Drosophila melanogaster: one gene and its partners. The protein of the gene in region 2 purifies or fractionates together with the protein of the main gene of each other region. This does not show direct contact. Each region holds a gene or a part of one and is shown on either strand. Other genes may lie near its edges.

Region 1 (8,215 bases), on a different chromosome or scaffold from region 2:
CAGTAAGAACTAAAATTGTTTTCAATTTTACACTAATCGTTTAGGTGGCAAACTCAAATACAAATTTACGGCTCATTTTTGTAAGTTACTTACTAAACTAAAGTCCAGCAACAGAAAAACCAAGAGTAAATGATTTTTAAGGCTTGTGTATGTCCGTTTTTAACTATCCAAACATATAGCCTAGTAGCTACGAACCATAAGCAATACGGCAAGTGCAGTTCTATACAAACGAAATTGTTCACGCGGCTAAACTAATTAAACAGTATAATATGTACCACAAACAATATTCTAAATCTGTTTTACGCATAAGAACGGGGCAACAAACAGTGAGCAAGTGGGAAACACATCAATGTAACATTTAGAACAATAAGTGTTGAGAAGGAATGAGAAAAGCAGCCAGAATAGTAATAAAAGATATTGCCATAAATTTTAAAAACCGTCGAAACCAATGCGTTTTTGTGGGTGTATCTGGGGTATATGGATAATGGCTTATCAGAAATGAGTTCATTAGAACTTTTCTTCAGTAAGTTTTTCCCTCGTGACCTTCACAACGTTCGGGGAAACCGACAGACATGGACTCAATGGACTGCGCTCTATTTGAATAAGCGTAAGTACTTCTATCAAGAGGTAGCTCGTGAAAGCTCTAGCACAATTATAATCTCCCCGGGGAGCGTGTGCCGCTCTAAAAGACATCGATCAAAAGTTTGCCTTGGACTTAAGTTAATGCATTTATCAAAGAACGTGAAACCCCTTCGATGTCGCGGAAAATCAGATCATAACAAGCTTACTCGTAAAACCCTCGACCCAAATGATTAGCCTAATCAATTTGCCACGATGAGTTATGGCTTCACTAATTGTGGCCGACCAGAGGAATACTGTAGTGTGTATCATTCTCTAGTCAGTGGACAAACACTTGGCGATATCGCCATATGAAAGCCGTCTGCAAAGCCAAGTGCTTCGAAAACAGCCATAAAAGAAAAACCTCTCGACTAGACGGTGCTCGTTGAATCAACGTAGATACAGATACGGTTATGAAAACAACTGGAACCCAATCAGTTGGCAAGACCTCCTCCATTTCGTGAGAGATTCCCAATTCCCATTCCATGTGCATTCAAACACGAGAGGCAATTAAAAAAAAAAACAATTAAATATCTCTAGAATAACCATAAATCAATCAAAATCTTGCAATCTACTGTGTTAATAATCAATGAAGTAATACCTGCACCTATATGCGATTCTGTTTCAACCGCAGCCCAAGAAAACTGGCCGCTGGAAGGGATTAGTAGCCAATCGATCAAATTTCATACAATTCTTTAACTGAAATGGAACCTACAGAATCTACAGTGGTCAAATAGAACCGAATAGATTACCCTACATCTTCTCTGTCCACTTGGCCTTTTGTTTGGTAATTAGGCTTGACAACAGGCAAATATAATACGCCAGGCCAACAGGTTTAGATGAATCCCCCGCATGGGCACATAAAACACTCAATTACGATTGGGAGTGGGAGACGTCCCAACCCGGTATTTTCACTCGGATTTGTCCGCCCATTCGATTGATAAGCGTGAACAATGCACACAAGAAACGAGCAAACAAAATAATAATAACAAAGAACTGGACGGAAGCGACTTGTGCTGCTGATTAGAGAGTGGGTTGTGGATGATTCAGTGGGTGGATGGGTGGTCAACAAGTTCAACACCTGTTGGCGACTACACGACGATAGATGAAAGCCCAGCCCAAAGCAAAAGGGCAACCGAAAACAAAGGTAGGCCTGGCAACAAGCATTCAGAATAATTAAGGCCCACAAACTATGGCAAAATGTGCACACATACGTAAATACGTTTATGTCATTTGACACCTGAGAAGAGTGTAAGGCAACTGAAGAGAATATAGTTAATGAAAGCGTGGAAAAGCAAAGCAAGCAAAAAACTGCATATGAACACGGGACCAGGCGACGCTATCGAAGGCACGCCATGACGAATTCCAATATACTCGTACAACATAGAAAAACTGCCTTTCAATAGATGTAAAGTAACACGAAACGCAGATACTCTGTGCGAAAGTCGTGTTAAAAGTCCACAAAATGATCTCGCTGCCTTTATCGCTGAGCTTGCTCCAAAACAATAACAGGACAAATGCAGAGTTACTTTATAGTTGTGATAAAATATATGGTGATATATATTGAGAGAGGAACACACCACATATGTACAACTAAATCGACTGAAGTTAAGAATTAGTTGACAACAAAAACTCATAATAGTAAGATAGTGAAAAGTCATTGACCCACAACGAGGAGATTATTCAAATACTCATGACTCAGCCAATATACACATTTTTCAATTGGTCTGTGCAAAGTTCTAGTTTTTATACAATTCATAATGATTGATTATTCCTTATCGAGCAACATCGAATGATGCAAGATTATGAACGTTCGGAATGGAAAATGGGAAATTAGACAAAGTGAAACTCAGCTTGCATTATGAATTCCAATTCCCAAATGAATCACTAATCAATACCGAGCACTAGCACTCACCCGTTTGCTCCTGATGTTGTTGTTGCTGCTGCTGTTGGGGAGTGGGTGTTGGTGGCTGCGGAGGTTGCGCCTGAACCAACTGGGCTGGCTGTTCGATTAACAGGGGCGACGTTTGCTGCAAAATGTGATGCGGCGGTGGCGGCAGCAGAGCTGGCTGGACTGCATCCGGAGGGAGGGGCATGGCAGCAGTCCAGGCCACCGGAATAGGGCCTGGTGGCGGTGCTCCGCACTCGGCTAGCTCGTCCTCGTACTATTAACGATAAGAAATGTTTAGTATTGCCATTGTCTTTAGCTTCACGGTATGCCAGGCCCACTTACCTGCGGTAGCGGACCCGCTCCTGGATGGATTGGCTGCAGGGCGGCCATCTGACCATCGTCGAATATCTGCATCACGCCCATTTGGTGCTGCATTTCGTGCATCTGTGGATCGTAGATGGGATAGTTTGGACTGATCATGCTCGACGTCTCCGAGGAGGGCAGGGATGAGCTATTGTGGTTGAGCTCATCGGCTACACTGACAGCACCTCCATTGGGATGCACAGCCACCTGTTGCTGTTGTTGCTGCTGCTGTAGCGCTTCGAAGTCCTCTGCGTACATGGGGCCCTGGTGCCAGATCTGGGTCATTCCGCCGTCCGGCTGAGCTCCACGTTCATCCACTCCCGGCTGGCCAGCGTCTTCGGGTACATACTGGTACTCAGCCGGATGCATCATGGGGTAGATGTACCCACCGTGGTTGAACCACGCAGGATTATACATCAGCGGTCCGGAGATGAAGAGCGGCGTTCCAGTTGCCTGTTGGGCAGCAGTGGCATTGGGGGGAGGCTGCACATTGGCATGTTGGGGTGTGAAGTAGGGAGAGGGATATGGCCCGTAGGCGTAGGTTGGTGGCGCCGCGTAGTACTGCTGTAAGTGCTGCATGTGCGCCTCCGGCGGCGCCAACTGCTGACCAATCTGATCCGGCTGAAGCTGCAGCCCGGGATTGGCTCCGTCCGGCGGTGGCAGTTGCTGCTGCGGCGGAAGGGTGATCAGTTGCTGCTGCTGGAGGTGACGTGGCCCATGGTAGTCATTGCGTCGCGGTCCACCGCCACGGGGACGACCTCGTTCGCGCATCCGTCCGCCACCCATTCTAGGACCATGGGGATTCGGAGATCCGCCCTGGGGCGCCAAATTAATGGGCACAGGCTGCAGGTGCGGCATCACCGTGTTGCCCTGTGTGGAATAACAAGTAAGAAGGTCAGTAATGTAGGTGCTAGCTAGTAACAATGCTTAGTAATTAGCGAAATTATCGAACAGATGTATATAGATCCTGTTCTGTTTCACCCACCTGCTCCTGGGGCATGTCGCCGTGTCCAATGTAGTGATGCTGACCTCCGGGTGGCATATAAGCCGGAACACCGTGCGGCCAGCCATGCAGGTTCACATTGGCAGTGACGTTGTTCACATAGACGTGATTGCTGGGCATCGGAGCGGGGATCATGGCCGGGTAGTGGGCTCCGGCGTGCGGGTGTCCTCCGTGGGCGGACATATAGACGGGTGGATTGTACACTGGCTGTCCGGTTGGAGTGAATGCCTGGACGGGCGTCATCAAGTTGTTGTTCCCGGATGGTGAGACCAGGGTGTTGTTGTGATGGTTGTTGTTGTTGTTGCCATTATTGCCGGGTCCGCTGCTCACGCCAGACGGCTGGGGCGTCGAGGGCGTTGAGATGGGCGTGGCTGCTCCTCCGCCTGCCGCGCCGGAGGATCCCGCCGTCGTGGAAGCCGACGACGACGTGGATGCCATGGCTTTGAGGCCAAAGGTTAGAAACTTGGCTCAAATTCCGGTTGAATGTACTTGCGGATTTAGACGAGTCTCAAGAGTCGCAGCAGGCGCCAAACATTGAAATTGGTTTTTGCTGATCGGAAAGAGAGCGCATAGCAATTGATTAATTAGTACATTAAGGAGATAATTATATAAGACTGGGCAATCAATATTAATTATGCACGCAGTCGAAAGAAGAATACACCATTTATTAGAGTCCCCTAATTAAATTTATTAATATAAAGTATGGGGGCATGAGGGTAATGATTCAAAACAATTTCTATTGACAAGACCAACTGTTGAATACTATGGCTGATTCTACAAATCTTGAGCCGCACGTTTAAATATATCACATCAATAAAGTAACTTCAATTCTAACACTAGCTTATGCAGCTGGAGCGCACAAATTCATTATATTTTACCCGACGCAGGTTAAATTCTAATTAAATGCGATTTTCAATTCACGCCACTCCGCGTGCCGCAGCCAGAAAAGCGATCTGGCAAGGCCGCACAGCTGTGATGAGACGGTGTAATGAGAAAATCAAATAAACAAAGCAAAAGAGACGCATAATTTAAATAAGGCTTACACGGGAATTATCTCAAATGTAGACGCATTATAAATGCATATTTATCAAACAAAACTAACTGCTGCCCATTGCATTTCTGGACATTTTCTGGACGATTTTTTGGTGCCACACGGCGCCCGCTAGAGATGAGTAATTGCGACGATTTGCCGGCTCACGTAAATATCGGTCACGAATGTAACAGGTTCAAAGGGCTCTTTTAATGGGTTTTTCTAGATTAGAAGTTGGTCATGGAAAGTGAAATGACTTCGGCATGGAAGCTGGTCGTTCATCTTGAAAACTACCTGCATTTGACAGACATTCATTGCTGTTCTTTGGGAGTTTTAAATTACTCATCTCTGCCGAACACAACACACATACACCAGCACATGCACGCACTCACACACACGCACACATGCACACACGGAGAGGCAGGGCAAATGGAAGAAATGGGAAAATAACGTTCGCTGGAAGCAAAAAGTCCACGATTCCCTACTAGTTGCCAGGTTTACTTCTTCCGAGTTTTATGTAAATGGAGGAGCCAGGTGTTTGGTGTTATTATTGTGCTAATTTCGTGGGCGCCGGGGCGGGTGTATCGAACGTACCTTTTGTTGAGTGGCCAATTGAAATCAATTTTGCAATTTGATCATATTTTATGCGTGCGGCAATCTCTCTCCTGCTCTCTCTTTCTCCGCGGTGCCACGATAATTCCGCAACTTTTTACACGCTGCTGCTCCAAATTCTGCTGCTTTTGCTGCCACAAATTAACATTGAGGCGGGCAGTTGCGCGGGGTCACAGGTCTCGGGGCACGGGCGAGAGGTCACCGGTTAACACGGCACTCGGCGATCCCTATATTGCTGAGGGCCACAAACGTTTTATTGTTCTCTATTTTTCGGCCGAAAAACCTTCCTGCTCCCAGGGTTGTCGCAATTCGATGACAGTGCGATAATCGTCGGCGCGTGCTATCGATGGCCAGGGTGGCCACCCGCCTGCAACCGATGGCAACGCTGTGGAAAATTGGCGGGTAATTTGAATGCTTGACTATGTTATTAAAACCTATTTCGGACGTATTCGACAATACAAAACACCAAGACTATTATTAGACACACATTGTTTGTTTTTATTTATGCAATATTAAACATGCAATGAACAATTATACAAAAATTCGCTGCACATCAACAGAGATTCGTGTTCGGCCTTCCATTTAAACCAACTCGGGCATTTTGAATTTTCGGATTGCTGTGGGATTTTCAACATCTATTATGGAACGAGAAACATTGTAATTGCATGGATTACAAATAAACACTCAGATATATAATCGTATAGGTACATATAATGCTGTAATGTGGGGATTAACACTGAGAGCGTACAACTAATTATATATGTGCATCGAACTTAATCCGTGTTCCGATTGCTTTTCATTGACTAGTTTTCCATTCGCCATTGACCAATTTTGTAAATCAATTTGCCTAATCAGTCTTTACTATAAGCTGATTGTACTTTTTACAGGGTATGCACAAGTCTGGCATTTATTTGGCCACGCCCTCGTATTTAGATCGTTGTGAGTACACATCCTCGTAGAGATTAGCATTAACATTAACCGATAAATAGTATTGATAACAACGGTACACCCAACGGGACATTTCGGCCCCAGATATGGGATCGTAATAACGTGATATATCTCATATTCTAACAATAGGAAGACTAGTGACGACAGCTGCGATCAAAATAATATCTCTATGTGTTTTCCAACCAACTGCGCTTCCAAGAATAGGCTTTATTTTGATTCAAAAAGATCGTTTGATTTTTCAGCTCTTTGAAATATGAACTAAAAACAACCTTAATCAGTTGGAAAATATGTCTGAAAATAAATCTGAGACTATTGGAGGAAATCTAAAAAAAATGCACACCAATCCTTCTACGTTTCATGCTATAATTATTTCGATCGCAACTGAAGTTATATTTTTAATAACATCAGTTTATCAAGTTAATAGACGTCGTTGAAGTTAGTTCGTTAGTTGATTGCTTAGGCCCGAGGCAACACAGAGATAATTGCTGGTATATATATATATATATATATATATATACTCGTTTAACACTTATCTAGATACGATCTAGGGGTTATAAAAATAAACGACACGCACACGCACAAAAATACATATACAAACATCAATCGAGTTGCTAAAGTAATTGTCGATGGCTGCTGGTTAAACGCTAAGAAGTGGGTGTATCCATTCGATCCTAGGGATCCTGATCCTGGATTGATTCAGTTGTGTGGGAATTGCCCGGCTGTGTCGGAGGCGGGGGTGGAGAAGGCGGGGTACTTGGATGCAACTCATCCGCATCTATTTCGATCTCAATCGAGTTCTCCCGCTCCGTGATCTCCGGCATTTTGAGGGAGAAGCTGCTCAACTTTCGCTCCGCAGATCCCAAGGAGCCCTGGGAGTCGGCTTTCAGCAAAGTGGTCCTCCTCTCGTTGATGACCCTCAGTGAATCGTACCTCTGCTCATCCGCACTGCCACACCCACCGTTTTCAGCCAATCCCCTTTCCATGGACCGTATGTAGAAAACGGAATCATCCCGCTCGTTTGGAACACCTTTCTTGGGCCTGTAGAACTGGCGGGAACTATTGCTCCTGTATAGCGGATTGGCCACTGGCCTCGGATCCTCCTCCTGCTCGCTGCGCGCGAGGGGCAGGAATCCCGGACGAGCCTTTTTCGGCGGCAAGCTGCTCGTGTGGTGCTGCAGTTCGGTGATCTCCTCGTAGGACGCCTTGGGCTGTGTCGTCTCCTCCTGCTCCTCCGACTGATCCAGACTCTCCTCGGGAACGGCTGGCTCCATGCTGGATTGGCCCGACAGCTGGCGCACCGGTGGCGGTGGCTCCGAGCATACAGATAACTGACTCCTGCAAGGAAAACCGAGTTAAAATCTATTTGGGAACTTGATTTGGAGGGGTACAACATGGACATACCGAAACTCCTTCTCCACGGAAGGCGTGGCCGATGGACCCGAGCTGTAGCGCTTGGGCGAACGGAGAATGGATTTGGGCATCACTTCGGGACTATGAAGATCTACTTGAACACGCCGAGACTCGATACTGGATGTTCGACTGGCCATGGAGGCACAGCGAGCCGTCCAGCGGCCGCTATACGAGGAGTCCGACATTGTAGAGTTCCTGTAAGCAATGGTATATGTTATTAGCCAGCTAGAGGAGCTATTGGACACCTTGAACTCACCGCCTGTGTCCCAGCGGACTGCGACTGTGATCCCGTGCCTCCTCCTGCTCGATGGGTCGTTGCCGGGAGAGAACGTGCCGCTTG
Region 2 (8,351 bases):
CTGCACCCGGACGCGACACGGATGATTCGTCCTCCGGCTAGACTTTGATCCGGAGGAGGCACTGGTGCATAGTTGCCTCAACCGTTCTGCATGGAGTAGGCTGCGCGGTCGGTATAGCGGAGCATGGTAGCTAACGCATCTAGATATCTGGAGGAGATTAAGTCCGAGACGGTTAGTCGGGAACTTCCCGAATATGCCTGGCATTTTTTCTTTTTATGTACAAATTTTTGACTTGATTCAGGAATACATAAGTTAACACACGGTAGAATTTCAGTTTTGAGAAAGGAAAGAAACCAAAATGTTGTGTAGTGTAAGACGTAGCAAGGAAAAATGGTGTAAAAGCTAACCAAATGTCTAACGTAAAAGTAAAGGGCCTACTGATTTTAGGTTTTAGCCTTAATTCAAATGTACTGTACCTGTAAAATGTTGGTTACTCTGCCAAATAAGCGCATACTACTTAATTTTTCACTTGTGCTGAAAGGCCAAAAACTAAAAACTTTGAATTTTGAATTTTGGTGGAATTTTTTTTGTAGGTTTACAAAAGGTTGTGTACTAGCACTGGGCTATGTTTTCAGACTGGGCCAGTAAGCCAAACGAGATTATGAACTAAAATTCGCTAGCCTACTGCTTTCCCGAAATTTCTATAAGATTCCACAATCGATTCGTTTGGCAAGTCCTTGAAAATAAGGAAGATTACTGCAACCTATTTGCTGCAGATATAATCCCATAAATGCTGTCACTCCAAAAACTCGAAGAACCGACTTTTTTGGGGGCCTCTAAATGCATTTTGAATTAAATTTAGGTACCACAATTGCCCCTACCGTTGCTGCATATTAATTGATTCACTAGTCACCTGGTCACCCACTCAATCAATTGGTGCCTCAGTTCGATTTCTGATTTTGCTGGCAGCGGTTTCAGTTTCTGTTTCGGTTCGGTTTTAGTTTCGATTTCTAGCCAAGAGCTAGATCCGTGATTCCATTGACAATGTTGCGATTGGCCAGCTCCACACTTAGTAGTTCCATATGTCTTATTGTGTTTTTTAATGTAAGCAAACACTTGGCATTGCCGATAATTAGGGAACTTGGCGATGTCTAAATTCATAATGTGGGTTTTTTTTAAACAAATAAGTGACTCATGAGCTAACTATTCAAGAAAATGGTGTAGGTCATGAATAGAGTATAGAGTTTGGTTGCACATTAGGGATCACCTTCGTATACAAGGTATAACCACACAAAGCTTTGCTTAAAACTTTAAACTATAATCTCTGGCTATTAGTAAGAATATAATCAGACCCTCTTCCGATCGGACCCTATGACTTTTTGAAGCAACCACCATACACCCAGAAAAATTAAGAACGTCACTCAGTGGCATTTATCATAAATCATGAGAAGATTTCTTCTTGATTTCGAGACGAAAACGATCTCAATTTTAATATTTTCAGAGGGAAGAAGTATCAGGTTTATGATTGTGTAAAAGGAACGTAATGGAAAGACTGACAAAATGAGAGCAAAGTCAATTGTAATCTAAGAATGGATCGATCTCTATCGAAGCATAATTCAATCTTGGCAGAATTTTGAGATCAAAATTTTCAAATCGAGATCTTTGAGAACGGTTTTTTCTCTAAGTGTATAGATGGGCACATATCATAACTTAGAAACCTCATCTTTGATTTGTAAAGCAGCCATATCTTATTCAACCAAATTCAAGGTCCAGTGACGCGTGCGCGTTGGGATTTGAATATAGAAAGCCTTATTACCGGTCATACTCAATATTCATTAACGTACGTGCAGCCGGTCATTAAGCGCCAATTATAGATTCCATTTCTCCGAATGTATCTGCAGTTTTTGTGGCTGCTACTGCTGACGACGACGACGACGACGACGTCCGCCAAGCCCACCAACTCCAGTGATTCTGGCACCAAGAATGGAATGCTGCATGTGACCAGCTTTGTGAACCAGAAGCCCAAGTCGGGAGTACGTGAAGAGTTCGATTTCGAGCAGAATGAGGCGGAGGCCACCAACTCGGCGCATCTGCAACAGCTCTTCGGCAGTTTGTTGCAACTGCCTGGTAAGGGAAACATGAGTCTGGAGCTGTCCCTGGAGACGGACGACGATCCGGTCAGCGAGCGAAACCAGCTGGATGATGAGATGAAGGCCACTGGCGAGCAGCATGAGGGCTTCACCGAAACTGCGGATGCATGGCATCGCATTAAGCTAAATATTCCGGTCCTGGAGCCGGTGAAGCACCTGATAAACACAGTTGGCGGTGGCGGCGTGAACGACTCCCATGTGAAGAGCAATACTCATCGGCTGATTGGACACCATGGCGTCCACGAAACTCACCACAATGGCGGGAACATCAGCTCCCCGGCCATCGAAACGGAGGAGGATCGGGAGACAGCCATCGACAGCACCGGATTCGATGTTCTGGAAACGTTGGGCAGCGCGGGAACGGTTCTGTTCAGCATCTTGCAGAATCTTCGCAAGGTGTTTGCCGCTAGCGCTGGAAGTGCAAGTTCCGCATCCTCGGGGGGCGGCGGCGGTGGAGCAAACTAGTGGACTTTCTCGGAGATTATGTTCTGTGATTAATATAAGTCTTGTGCAAATTCGGATTTCCCTTGATTCTTACTAATTAAATAAACGAAATGTTATGAAAATGGAGAAATTAATATTTCGATTTTGGGAAATAGATTTTGCCACTACCCCAAAAAAGACTTGCAGTTGGATTTTATAAAATATTTTACTGTCTTAATTCTGGTTTTTTATACGATACTCTTAAGTAGCCTACATGAACTCATAGTTTCCGTCGTCAAAGTTGCGATTGCCGACCATTGGACCGCCTGCTCCCATTTGATTGGGATTCTGGCCACCCATTTGCGGCCGGAACTGATTGCCTGGCGTGGTCTGGTGCTGCAAGAGCTGGCGCAGCCCCGGGTTGTTGTTGCTCATCATGGGACGCACCATGCGCTGCTGCTGCTGTTGCGCCTGCTGCTGCTGCATTGCGGCGACGTTTGGCGCCACTTGTTGCAACTGCTGCTGGAGGTTTGGATTGGGCACGCCACCGGGACCAACACCCACGCCAACACCTACGCCCAGTGGCATTCGCTGTTGCTGCATCATGTTCATCTGCATTTGATTCTGTTGCATGGGCATGCCGCCGGGACCGGGACCAGGTCCGCCGCCAGGACCTCCACCACCCATCTGCATATTGAGTTGGAACTGGTTGTAGTGTTGCTGCTGCGAGTTATCCTGTTGCATCTGTTGCTGCTGTTGTTGTTGTTGCTGTTGCTGCTGCAGCTCCATGGGCGACTTGCCTTGCTGCTGCATCATTTGCTGCTGTTGCTGCTGCTGTTGCATGTTGCCGTGCTGCTTTTGCTGTATGACTTTGCGCAGACGTTCCACAAACATTGCCTGATTATTGGGAATGAAGCCCAGAAAAGCGTTGCGATCGGGCGTGTAGAGTAGGATGAGAACCTTAAGGTCACAGGCTGGTGAGTTGGGGATGGAGGAGAAGTGGACGCAGCCAGCATAGCCGGAGGTCATCATCTTGGCCAGCGAATCGAGTGCCTCTCCTGGAGTGGGTCGAAAAACAACCATTTTCGAGTCCTTGAGAAACTGCCCACCAATATTGCCAACTAGGTGCTTGGGCATTAGCTGCATCAACAGCTTGGGCGGCCAGTTCTCAGCCTTGATCTCGGGCTCGCCATCTTTGATGTTGGTGCACACGGTACACTGGAGTGTATGGGGAATCTTCTGTTGATCGGACTTTGGCTTCTCTGACCACTCCAGCACTCCGGTCCATATCTTTTCCCTCAAGGAGGCCTGCTCCTGCTGCGAATTTCCCTGCTGTTGCTGCTGCGGATTGCCCTGCTGCTGCGGATTCGACTGTTGTCCTACTTGTTGTTGCTGCTGCTGCGGATTAGACATGTTGCCGGCATTGCTAGCCGGCATCATATTGTTTCCTGCATTGGGATTTACCTGCTGCTGTTGCTGTCCTTGCTGCTGCTGTTGCTGTTGCTGGGCCAGTTGCTGTTGCTGCTGCAACTGCTGGTGATTTAGCATCTGCTGCTGGCTCAGCATCTGCATCCTTTGTTGCTGCTGCTGTTGGGCCTGTTGTTGCTGCTGCTGCTGCTGCTGCGCCTGCTGCTGTTGCTGCTGCTGCAGCGAGGTCACAGTTTGGTTCGGCGGCGGCGCATTAATGCGCGATATCAGAGCAGAATTTGGATTCTGTTGCATGCCGCCGCCTTGGCCCACACCGCCCACATTGCCTGCTCCCTGCATGAAGGGCGGACGCGCCTGACCAGGCTGGTTGGGATACATCCAGCGGTTTTGGCCGGGTCCCACGTTTTGCTGGAAGTTCTGATTCTGCATTTGATTGGAAACGAATTGATTCTGCTGCTGCTGCTGCAATAGTTGCTGCTGCTGCTGTGGATTGAGTAAGCCCGCTGGGGGATTTGGACCGGGCTGCTGTTGCTGCATCGTGTTCATGTTCATGACCTGCTGCTGAGGATTGCCTTGTTGTTGCTGTTGCTGCTGCTGTTGTTGTTGCTGTTGCTGCTGCTGGGCTGGAGTGGTGTCCATGGGCATGCCCTGCCCTTGTTGTTGCTGACCAGCTTGATTTTGTTGCTGTTGTTGTTGCTGCTGCACTGTAGCCTGTGCCGCATTGGGTGCAGCCATTTGGGCCGCCATGCTGTTGGGACTAGGTGCTCTCTCCTTGAGGCTGTATCCCTTTAGAAGCACTAGGTGTCTTATGTTCTTGGCATAGTTTTTGCTCGTAATGGGCTGATCTCCGTCGGCCTTCATGAAAAGTTTGAACAACACCGGCATCTTGCGTGGCGCAATAATGGAGAGATTGATTTTGCGCTCGTTGAAGAGCGCCGCCAGCTGCTCACATGATTTGCCCGGATACTTCCACGACTCCGTTGTGGGCATCTGGTACGGCGGACTGTTGCAGATGAGAATGCAGTGCCTCTGGACGCTGGTCTGATCGAGCAACTGGCGCCTTTCGCTGATGTCATCAAAACAGCCGTGGGCCGCAGCAAATCCTTCGGCCATGTGGGCACAGGACTCCATTCCGCCTCCCACTAGTGGCAATCTTTCGATCGTCTCCATCACTTTTTGGGGCTGCAGAAAGGGACCATAGGTTGAACAAACTGGCTCCAGCAGATTGGCCGCTGTACGGTAGACCACAATACCGTACAGAGTGGCAAAGCGCTCCGCAATCAGGTATTCCCGCTCGTCGATGGAGCCAGTGGTGAAGTGCTCCAAAGTCGGCAGGATGTAGTTGGTCTTTAGTTCGTTGATGTAGGCTCCGTTGATGGCGCTGCCCTCGATGACGAAGACCACGTCGGCCAGGGGAATCTGGTCCACCTCCATTGGACGATGGGAGTTGGCTTTAAGTTGAAAAACTTGTTGCAAAAAATGTAAACTATGTTGTCTGCTTTACACCGCTCTTTTACTTTTTTCGTTTGTTTTGCATATCGCTCTGCTGCTATCGATAGTCAACTTATGGTTATCGCTCAGCGATTGCTAGGGCTGCAAAATAAATGAATATTCAAAAGTGCCCATAAAGTTGGATTTAAGAATATGCAGATTGCCTTGAAAACTTGTTTCTATTGAATTCTTTTTCTATTTTCACAAATAAAAAAACGTTTGGTGTTTATCTAATTAACTTAAAATTGAATATTGCATACAAAAGATAACTATAAATAAGATATTACGATGTTTTATGTTAGGTATCATAATTATAGTTGTTTTATGTATGTATTTTCAATGGAACTATAAAGTTAATTCTTTAAATATTCGTTACCAATAGTTTATATCGATGGTTGCAAGTGCTGCCAGACTCTCGCAGCGAGTTTCCGTTCGGCAGTCTGGCAGCGCGGTCAGCTGTTCCTATTGCCCAACTTGCGCAGTTCGTTTTGTTCAGTTCATTCGCCGATTTTGAAGAATGCGGACGTTGACGCTGGTACCGCGTCGTTTTGCCAAAATAATTCGTAAAAAATATACGCAAAACGCTTAGAAAGTGTCAATTAACTAAACATTAGCTATTGAGCAGTGCAAGTGCAGGAAAAACGATCGCAGAAATAGCCGAAAACACATGAAAGTGCGAATTGCGGGCTTTTTTGTGGCTGGCACAGAATGTGTGGCACAAAGCGGAAAGCGCGCTAATTGAGCGTGCGAGCGCCTGAAACGCAGAGAAATGTAAATAAATAAACGTGTGACGCCGCGACAATTGTGAAAAGTGCACAAACACGACGTTTGGCAAGTGAAAAGTGAGTGAAATCTAGATAAATTTCATTAAATTGCCCATTTCGCATCTGGCAAGAAGAACAGCTGTTGTTTGGCATCTCGCTCTGTCTGGTTGTCCTCTCTCTTATTTTGCCCTCTCTCTGTTTTTGTTGCTCCCCTTTGCTTCTGTTTTTTTTTACTGCAATGTTGCTAAATCGTTTGATTCTATTATTATAATTATACTCCTTGCCCTGACGTCACTGCCTCGAAAAACCTGATAATTTGGGTAGGCAATTAGCATGGTTTAAGTATAGTTTAGAGTACAGAGAAGTGAATTAAACGGCCATGTGTGCACAGCATGCATGCTTTTTTGTTATTGTTGCCTGGCAACATGTTTCGCCACATCTGCCTTTTTTTTCTTGTCTCTCTGTTAGTCCAATTTGCCAATAAGCAACTTTTCCATTTGTTTACAATAATTGTGATCGCTACAGAAGCACCGATCGTGAAGTAAAAAGCGCCTACATAAATATAAGGCACCAGTTATGCTTGGGCGTCACTCCGACTGCCGATCGCCAGTTATTTTAGTTGGGTGTTTGTACATTTAAATACCCTACCTAAATGCAACTTACTCGCATGTAGTCAATATCATTCAAACCCTAATATGTTACGCATTTTCCAATCGGGTTTATCACATATAAACAATATCGAAGCCAGATAAAGCGACTTGTGATAATAATCACCCATACAACAAAGGCTGTTCATTCATTATATTTACCATATTATTGATAACTATTTTTATAACTGAACTACAATATGTTCTTATAAATAAAGAATCACTAGATAATTTAAATATTAAATGAAATAAGTACAAACTATTTTTTAACTATAATAAGTTATTATTTGAGTAATTGCACGTATTATCATGTACGGATGTAGGTTTTTTGCTTTAAATAATAAACGTATTTAAACGTATTTTTAATTGATTAAGGGTATACTAAATGCATTGCTTTCGGCTCCGCCATTCACTTTCCACTATTGCGTCATTATTGGTTGATTTATGTATTTTATCGTTACGCTATACATTTGCAGATCGCATTCGCGCGTGGAAATTTAATTTAAGATTTCCCACACAAATAAAGATAAATTTGTTATTGCACAAACGTTTGTTATTCACGCCCGTCTTGAATACTTACTAATAGATTTGCAATTAAAATAGGGTCAGATTAAACGATAAATCAACTTCACCGCCTGCTTATCAGTTTTTGACCCTAACAAAAAAATAGAAAGTCCAATTAACTATGTATGTACGTTTTAATTGTGAACTTCTTATCAGTCTGCCATAGATTTAGGTTCTTAAAAACTATTTTTGATTTTCCCCTGAAGAGCTTTCAGCTACTAAGTAAGTGGCTAGATAAGGGCTAGACAATTTGACAGACCGCTTTATCGGCATGGTCAAGTGGTAACTAATCGGAAACGGTGTTGCTTTTGTAGTGCTCCCAAAACTAATAGGTTTCTAACCGTTTTTCACTCTTACTCCATTTGCAGGCACTGAAAGCCGAGAGACAAGGAAAACCCATTTCCGCGCCAAGTGCAATGGGCGAAGGTGTTCCCATTTTTCGAGTTCTTATCGGGCAGCGACTGAAGTATGATTGAGTTGGCCTCGCCTCCGATTCGCGTCTGGTTCTCGTTGCGCTAGGCCGATACGGATACCCGCTTGGACTCCACTCGGGTGGACCCTTGTTGGACCTTTAGTGCGATTTTCGAGGGAGGCCAGGGAATGGAACATGCCCGGGGATATGCATAAGAACGTATCTGTTCAAGTCGATAGTGATTTTGCCTTATTGCTGCCCAGTGGTGTTTATGAAATCAAGAAAATGGAACCGCGCTCCAAAATCCGAACAATCATTGTGTTTTGCCTCTTCCTGGCCATCGCCGGCATCATCGGATTTGGATACTTTTGTCAAGATCAGGTAAGTGCCAAATCCCCTCATTAATTCCCATTGCTTATAATTTATAATTTTCTGTTACTTGGCTCCAATGCAAATTAGCACACCAATTGGCGAAATGCTGAATTTATTCATTAATATTTGCCGTACATGTGTGCTTTTATTGGAATTACCA
Region 3 (8,235 bases), on a different chromosome or scaffold from region 2:
AGTGCAAGCGAGACGAAAAACAATTCCAGTGGCAGTTGCCTGGTTGGTAGCAGAAAGGATGAGAGAGCCCTCCTCCTTTGAAACAGCCATCCTATAATCGTTAACCCAAAAGTGAGCTGCGAATTTCGGCGAGAGCCAACCAAACCCACACCCTACCCCGCCGCCACCCGCCTTGGACAACATTTGAAATGATGGTGTGCGGGCGGTTTTTGGCGGTAGGGTTCGTTTGGGCCAAGAGCATGATGATGATGGAGGGGTGAGGTAGTGGATTTGGGTGGGCAAGAGAGGAAGGATTTGGTGGTGGAGACCAGCACCAGCTGGTCGCACCAGCCACTGCCAATGATGATGGCTCAAACCAATCAAACTACAGAATGCCTTAAACATCAGCATCAACTATACGCCCCGTTTGCCAGAGATTTTTGAACGCACCAAGGAAAACCAACTAGAAAACCGACTAAACATGACTGGATTAGGCGCAGGGTCGGGAAATGTATGGTTTCTACCTGTTTCGATAGTTTCCAACGAATCTAGTATGAGTTATCATACGTTCGATTCAAATATGTTACAATTTGATATTTTAGTTCTGCCGTTTTTTTTTTGTTAATTTTTTTTTAACATCGAAAAAGAAAAAAAAAGAAGCTGGCTGGGTGTCAGAAAAAAGCTTTTCAAGCTTGCGCTTGGTGGATAAAAATCAAGAAAAATCGCCAGCGAATCTGAGTGTACAATCGTAATCGAAAAATAGAAGTTGTGTCCAAAACGGACGGCAAAAAAAGGCGAAGGCGAAACAAAATGAAGAGAAGAGAAAGAGGCAGCATGAACTTCCAATGAAATTTCGTATGACTTGCGTTCATTGTTGTTATTATAGCTGCTGTATAGCTGTATATAGTGCCCCGATATATATAGACAGACGCCAATACATCGTTCATATAAGTACGTATATATGTATGTATGTATGTATATGTATGTATCTATACATGCATACTCTTACACACGACTAAGTATGTCACAATTAGTCTGACTGATAAATATTCACGAGTTGCTCTTTGATTGAAATTTCAACTGAAACCAGAAAAGCTGCGAATCGCATTGGAATTCGCATTAAATGCCCGACATGACAGATAATTGAAAATGCTGTCATTCAAATGCAATGAAAAATTAACAACCCTAATTAACCGCCCTAAAAACCGAGTTCTTTGTGTTGCCAACTAAAAATCGATGTACATATGTATGTATGTATGTATTTACATGTGGATATGGGAATATTCCTACCATATTATTTCGCTCAGTATTTTCGGGTTTTGCTTCTCAGTTTGCTCTTTATTTGCCTTAGCGCTGCATTGTTTGTTCTAATTAAATCTTATCTAAACAATTTTAAGCACAAATTGTTTCAATGGCAATAAAAAGTAGAAAAAATCACAAAAGCTCGGCGAGAGCTCACAGCAAAGTCGAGGGCAATGTTCTAAAGCAAAGGCTATATAATAAGCGCACCTCGATAGATTTTCCCATACCCACTATACATACATACATATATTGTACATTTGGTTACAAAATAAAATAAAAAAAAAAGCAAACTGCAAGATAAGGGAAGGGGAGAATCCGAGGGGCACACAAAAATGTGAGAATCAAAATCAATAACTCAATAGGCATTCGAAAAGGAAAACAGAAATAAGCGCAAAGCGAAGCAGATTCGTTCAATAAATAATGCGTATACGCTTCTATATACATATGTATGTTACATATACATACATACATTTTATATATATGTATGCCGATTTACAGGGAAACAAACGGGTTGTGTTTAACCCACAGCCAAAAGGCAATCGAAGGCGGCTATCCTGACTTCTGGCTTCTCAGTCTTGGCTTTTGCTGGCTGGCTCTCCGTTCGAATCGACTGGACTATGACAGTCAGCCGATAAAGATGATCGGGCCTAAGAGTCGGTCAAATAATGTCGGTGGTTGGCAGGGGTGGGGTGTGTACCCTGAGTCGAGTTGAGTCACCAACTACACTACATGCCCCATGCTCTAAACATGCGCTCATCCCCAGAATCGTAATTTGTGCCTCATTTATACACACAATTTCAATGACAAATCGATTGAGGTGCTCAGTTTGCCGATTTCTGGTTTATATTTATAAAACCGATTGGTAATCTACGCGGAATGGCAAATACATACATACATACATACATACATACGTTTAGAAGGAAACACAAAATCGCAAATAGCGCTAATCAAGTTGGAATTGCAACAAACCCCATAATTGAATAAGATTTGTATTGTACATACATATATTTTACAAATGTATATTTATGTTTTTTTCTATGCCTTTTTGGTAGTACCTTGCTGCTACCTTGTTGGAAATATATGGGGAATGTGGCTCCGAGAATACACAATCTCTGGTGTATTCCCCACTTTTTCAGCTGCTTCCTCTGCATTCGTTATCTTTCTCTTTGTGTACATAATATACTTGCTTTCACATACATATGTATGTCCATACATATATGTTTGTATATGTACGTAACACATTTTCCCGTTGATAAGAATAATGAAGTTAACTTATAGAGCCATTCCGTTTCCGATTCAATCCGCAGTTCGATTCTTCGCTTTTTCATCACTTAATTCGCGCTTTTTTATTACAATAAATTCCATTTTTTTTTATCAATTTGTATAAATAAATGTCCTACGGATTTAGAAAAACCAGTTCTGCTGGCTTAAGCGATGATTTTATAATGTTTTTCAAGAGCGATGAATTATGAAACTGCAGGGATAGTATAGGATGTATGTATGTATGAATGTATTATGCCCCATCTTTTCGATACCTATTTATTTAGATCTCGCTCTTTTCTCTGCCCTCTTGAATACCTCTAAAAATAAACTAATTTCCCCTGCAGTTTCGTTTTAATTTTATTTTTTTTTAAGTCCTAAACAATTCCATTCTGCTAAGAATTGAAATTTTTGTCAAGATTTCTCACCTATGAATGTACACATCATGGGTATTGGATGTATTCATGAATGCTAGAAAAAAAATGTAACAAAATGGGGAATATTATTCATTCCAACAGATGCGGTAATGTTTCTGTTCTTGCTCCCTTGCCTTGTTTTTTATTTACTTTTTTTTTGGCAATTTTCGGTTTGTTTTGCTTTGCCGGGTATATTTATACATTTGCGATAAACAAAATATGTATATTCACGACGACAATGTCGATTACCTCATATGAAATATTTGACTCGGCCAGCAAATAAGAAGCGTATTTAACAATATGACACGCCCCTCGCCCGTCGTCTGGCCCAAACGCCCAATCCCAATAATATCGGTGACTTATGCTTAACTTTGGAAGCCTAATAATTCAACACAAGTCCATTTAGAATTAATTTTCGACATTTATTTTTTGAACTTTGACATTGTAATGTTTTCACTGAGGATTTGATAGGGTATTCAACTTTTCGTCTTTTGCTTTCAATCCGTCATTCGTGAGTTTTTATTTTGTGCGAATTTTCTGTTCTGTCGCCTTTTATTATTATTACTACAGTTTTATATATTTTTTTGTGTGAAGCGTACTCTGCCGACGTCGCTGCCACTGCCAGCGCTGTCGCTTTGACGATTTGCGCTTTGCGTTGCGCTTACTCACAATCAAATCTCACGCCGCATTTTTAGTCTCAATAATAACTGAAACGAAAAACACGCGCAGCCGAAACGAAGCGCAAACCAAAGAGTAAAGCGAAAGAAGCAAGGAAGGCAAACGGCGAACAAAAACGCAAAACGAAAACGACGACACGTCGTCAAACGTCAGTTGCCTTTTATTTATTTTATTCCGCCACTCTTTCCTCTGTGTCCGTTCATTTTCTTTTGTTCAATTTCTTTATTTGCGAGTGTTCGTATGTGTATGAATGTGTGTGCTGATTGTTTTTGCATTTCGCGTTTGCTCAAATAGTAAATTAAACTGTTTTTAAGTTATCCACAAAAAAAGGGTCGGGGAGGGTGTGAAAAATAGAGGAGACGAGAGCAACTCGTTCTTCGTCACTCGCTGCGTTTTTTGTTGTCGTGGGTCGCCGTCTTTTCCACTGACTGGGTCGCTCTCTTTCTCTCTTATCCCCTTCTCACACCTCATTTGCCTGTTCTTGTTATAGTTGTATTTGTTGGTTCAGCATAATTAGACGACTCTGCGAGAGTAACAGTGCTGTCAGTTCAACGGTTTTCCCCGCCAGATCTAATTGTAAGACAAATTAAATTTACCATTAGAATTTACATACTTTTATTGGCGTCGAAATGAAAAAAATATTAGGTCGATTTTGTTATACAAACCGATATAATTGTTATTTCTATATAAGATATGAGCTTCCAAATCCATCCATATTTTTTAAATATTTATTCCAAATGAAGCACATAAAATTATATTGAGCAACACTATTGCTCTCCACTTTTCATTGTGCTGTTTTGTTTTTGGCCCTCTTTGCCTCTCCCACATGAGGTTCTCTATGTTTTTTTCGCCATTGTTGTGTTTCTACATTCGCGGCATGTTAATTTGTTGATTCTCGTTCTCAATGCTTTTTTGTAGGTTTCTTTTGTTTTATTTGTCATACTCGCCGTTTGTTATCAAAAGGGAAACAACAAAAGGCCAACGACAAGCAAAGGCAAACAGATAAACGTCGAAAGCTTGTCGCATATTTAAGGTATTTGCCTGGTTTCATCTCATAAAGCTTTTAAACATTCTAACTAGTTATGCTTTCCATTCGTTCCGTCTTCTTTTTTCTAATTGATTACGCGATTTTTATAGAATTTCTGATCGGAAATGCCGAATTAAAGTCTAATTAGGGGGGTATGCAGAAAATGTAGAAAATGTATTTATCAAATAATTTTTCTTATCTTTTTCGGTTGACCCAGATGATTGAAATCGTATAAAATTCTTTTAAATCTTGACTTTTAACGTGTTCGATAACATATCCCTTCATATGTTTGTTCGTGATTTTTTCAATCTTTTTTCACCTCGTCTTCTTTATCTATCAGTGTCTCTGTTTTGCTCACTTTGCTTTGCTATTTTTCTGATTGTGCGACAACTGCTTAACAATTCACAATTATGTACATACATACATATGTATGTACGTATAGATCTACAGTAAATCCTGGTATTGTATTCATTGTGTCGCCCCAAATTTTATGAATTTTTTGTAACATCAAAGACAACACAAATAGTAGATCTAGAAACTATCTACAAGATCAAAAAGATCTTTTTTGGAATTGTGTTTATTTCTTTTAGATAGATTAAATAACTCGCGTTTGTTTTGAGGAGACTTTACTGTCGTTTCGTGTGCACATCTGACTATGTAGTGTCCGTGTGTATTTGTTGATTGACTCAACTTGACGACGGAGACACACGCGCGCCCAATTCACAAAACTTTTGTTTTATACACCGAATCTTTTATTTTCTGTTTTCTTATTTGTTATGCTGCGTGATTACGTCAGCTGGCATTTGGTTTTTAATTTTCGAAGGCCTGGGAAAGCATATGCACATACAAACACACAAACACTCTCTAACTAACTCACTCATATGCAAAAAAAAAGGAGAAAACAGGTACATAAAAGTGTGTAGAAAAATTTAATCATTTTGCTCTGGCACAGTTGTTGTTGACTTGTTTCTGGTGAAAGTTTCACAAATCAAATGGAGGAAAAATCAGCGACGAATCGCAAAAAAGTGCAACACAACTCATCCATTAAAAAGTAAAAATCGCTGAAAAATCCTAAAGAAAATAAAAAAAAGGAAGAAACCAGGGAAAATTGCAGATTTGAGTTCATTGATTTTCTTTTGCTTGTGAAAATCCGAAATATGCAAAAATGAGTGTTTTACCTATGACCAATACATACGTATGTATGTACACCATCTACACCAATGACTTTATTTGTGTATGTGCAAATTTAATTTATCTTCTCCCTTAATATATCCCAAAACGAATGAAAAAAATAGACAGAGAATGTATAAAAGTGCCCACAGCCCCGCATTATTTCTCTGTCTCGTTTTTTTTTTGTCCCCCTCTCTGTCTTGCTTCATCACCTGTCATTGGCAAGGCAACCGTTAGCTTGCATTTTGTCGGCGAAGTAACGGCACAAGTATTGCCTTCTCTCTTTCATTTACAATATTGGCGAAAATACTACAAAATGATTCGATATTTTTTTTTATTAAAAAGTGTCATCATTTTCAGTTTTATTGTTCTTATTTATTTCTCCTAAAAACGTCGTAAAGTTTATGTACATACATGACCATACATATCTATTAATCCATAAACAATAGTTTTGTTGTGGCTATAATTGTGATTAAACAGCACTGAAACAAATTAATACGAGGGTTTTATTTGTTGCGGTTGCTTTCGATTACGAAATGTACATACATGTGTATGTATGTGTGTATGTGTATATGCGTTTTGTATGTGTTAACATTTGCATTCTTAACGTGAGCTGCGCAAGTTGAACGAAATAATAAATGCAGCCATCAAAAAATAAAAAGTCAAACGAAGCTAATAGATTTGGATATAAAAATTATTTAAACTACATATGTATGTGAAATGATTTACAGATATACCCTGAATAAAATGCTGTGGATAAGGGGATTAAAAAAATATGTAATTGCATTGCAGTTAGCGAATGTGCAAGCTTTCTAACGCCGAAGTCAGCGTGGGCAGCGCAGTCAGCGGTCTTGCCAACAAGAACAAGCGCGAAACATCGCGAAGCAACGAGAGCATGGCAGAGCCGCAGAGCAGCAGCGAGAGGAGCACCGCTGAGAGCAGAGAGCAGAACGACATTTCGGCTGCAGACGGCGGTGGTGTCGGTGTCGTTTTGGTTTTGTCGGCGGTTGCTAAACACAATTTAAGTTCACTCGGTTAGCAGACATTACACACTGCCTGCTCTCATACATATTTACGCACTTGTATATACATGCAATGTGCCTGTGTGTGCGCAAGAAACCAGAAAAAACGAAAAGTACAACATTCGTTGAGTCGCGTTCGGCTTAATTTTTTTTTGTGTTACCGTGTGTGTGTTTGTGCTTTGGATTTGCCAATTTTAGCCGACTGGCTCTCAGTGTCGAACTTAAACTTAAAGAGCGAGCAACGTGACGTGTCGCCCAGTGTCGCTTAAAATTCGCGCACACAACTTCCTACTACAAAAAAACGAAAGAAAGAAGGAGAAAAAACGTTAAAGGCGAGACTTGTTTTTTTTTCTTGTGCATCTCTGTGTGTTTGTGCATGTGTGAAGAGAAACAAAGAGAGGGAGATAGACGGAGAGTCGCAAAGCGAGAGAGCTAGAGCAGCTGATTCAGCCGGCAAGTGTCAGCTGTTTCGTGCCTGAGCGAGATAGAGCTAGTTTAGCGAGGCGAACATGTTATGTCTTGTACGCCGTCTCCTCTTTGCGGTTCATTCGCTCTAGCAATGCTCCAGCAACAACAGCAACAACTGGAAATAAGAGAAGCACAGCAAAGGCAACAACAGAAATCGCGTTTACAACTAAATAATTATTATAAAGATATACCCCGAAATCAACATCATATGCAAAACTGTCAGGATTTTCTACAAGTTCAGCAAACCGTAGAAATAAACAAGTTGCATTTTGTACAAAAAACACAGCAACAAGAATGTTATATGCAACAAATTCACCATCATCAACAACAGCAACAAAAGCAAATCGTTGATTATCAGCGTGTCAATGAAAGGGCGCACATGCAACCCACACAAATATTGCAAAGTCAGCAGAAAATATCAGAATTGCAACAAATACAACGTTCAGCAAGAAAACCAGAACTGTTGCAAATACCAGAAATACTACAAAAACAGCAATTTCAAACAGCTCAACAAAAGCAAACGAAAAAGCAAGGTGCAAATACAGCAACGATAACATCGTTTAACAGCAATAGCAATAGCAACAATAGTAGCAGCAGTTGCAAGAACTACAATACCACTAGTAACAGCAACAAAAATAATATCGACAATAATAGCAGCAATAGCAGCGGCCAAATAATGTTAGCCTCTGCCAGCGCCTCTGCCTCCGCTCGGAAACGCAGTCGCAGCACGAGTAACGGCAGCAAAAGCAACAACAAAACTGCCAGTGGCCGCATATTTACAAAAAGCGTGAGTGTGTTTGGTTGTTTTTCCTTTCTTTTCTCTCCGTCTCTCTCTTTCCCTCTCTCTGTTTACATTGAGCTGTTTTGTCCGTGCACGTGCTAGACGATGTAGAGAGTGAGGGAGAGAGCGAAT

What was found.
Region 1: the proteins of MED25 (region 2) and Usp10 purify together in Drosophila melanogaster (affinity purification with mass spectrometry, with the first as the bait; one large-scale study listed by BioGRID). This does not show direct contact.
Region 3: the proteins of MED25 (region 2) and Tlk purify together in Drosophila melanogaster (affinity purification with mass spectrometry, with the first as the bait; one large-scale study listed by BioGRID). This does not show direct contact.

Annotation. Positions count from the first base shown.
Region 1 is NT_037436.4:869,518-877,732, reverse strand, and holds the start of Usp10 (ubiquitin specific protease 10), read right to left. Parts: upstream 4,823-8,215; 5' UTR 4,754-4,822; intron 4,426-4,753; 5' UTR 4,314-4,425; coding exon 3,858-4,313; intron 3,743-3,857; coding exon 2,852-3,742; intron 2,784-2,851; coding exon 2,534-2,783; intron 443-2,533; exon of another isoform or gene 1-442. Other genes in the region: CG12502 (uncharacterized protein), read right to left, coding at 7,137-7,800, 7,867-8,070, 8,132-8,215.
Region 2 is NT_033777.3:20,006,084-20,014,434, reverse strand, and holds MED25 (mediator complex subunit 25), read right to left. Parts: upstream 5,489-8,351; 5' UTR 5,376-5,488; coding exon 2,784-5,375; 3' UTR 2,723-2,783; downstream 1-2,722. Other genes in the region: CG4836 (uncharacterized protein), read right to left, coding at 1-204; CG17190 (uncharacterized protein), read left to right, coding at 985-1,044, 1,842-2,555; Hs6st (heparan sulfate 6-O-sulfotransferase), read left to right, coding at 8,015-8,200.
Region 3 is NC_004354.4:3,769,252-3,777,486, forward strand, and holds the start of Tlk (Tousled-like kinase), read left to right. Parts: upstream 1-3,388; 5' UTR 3,389-3,783; intron 3,784-6,563; 5' UTR 6,564-7,368; coding exon 7,369-8,109; intron 8,110-8,130; exon of another isoform or gene 8,131-8,235.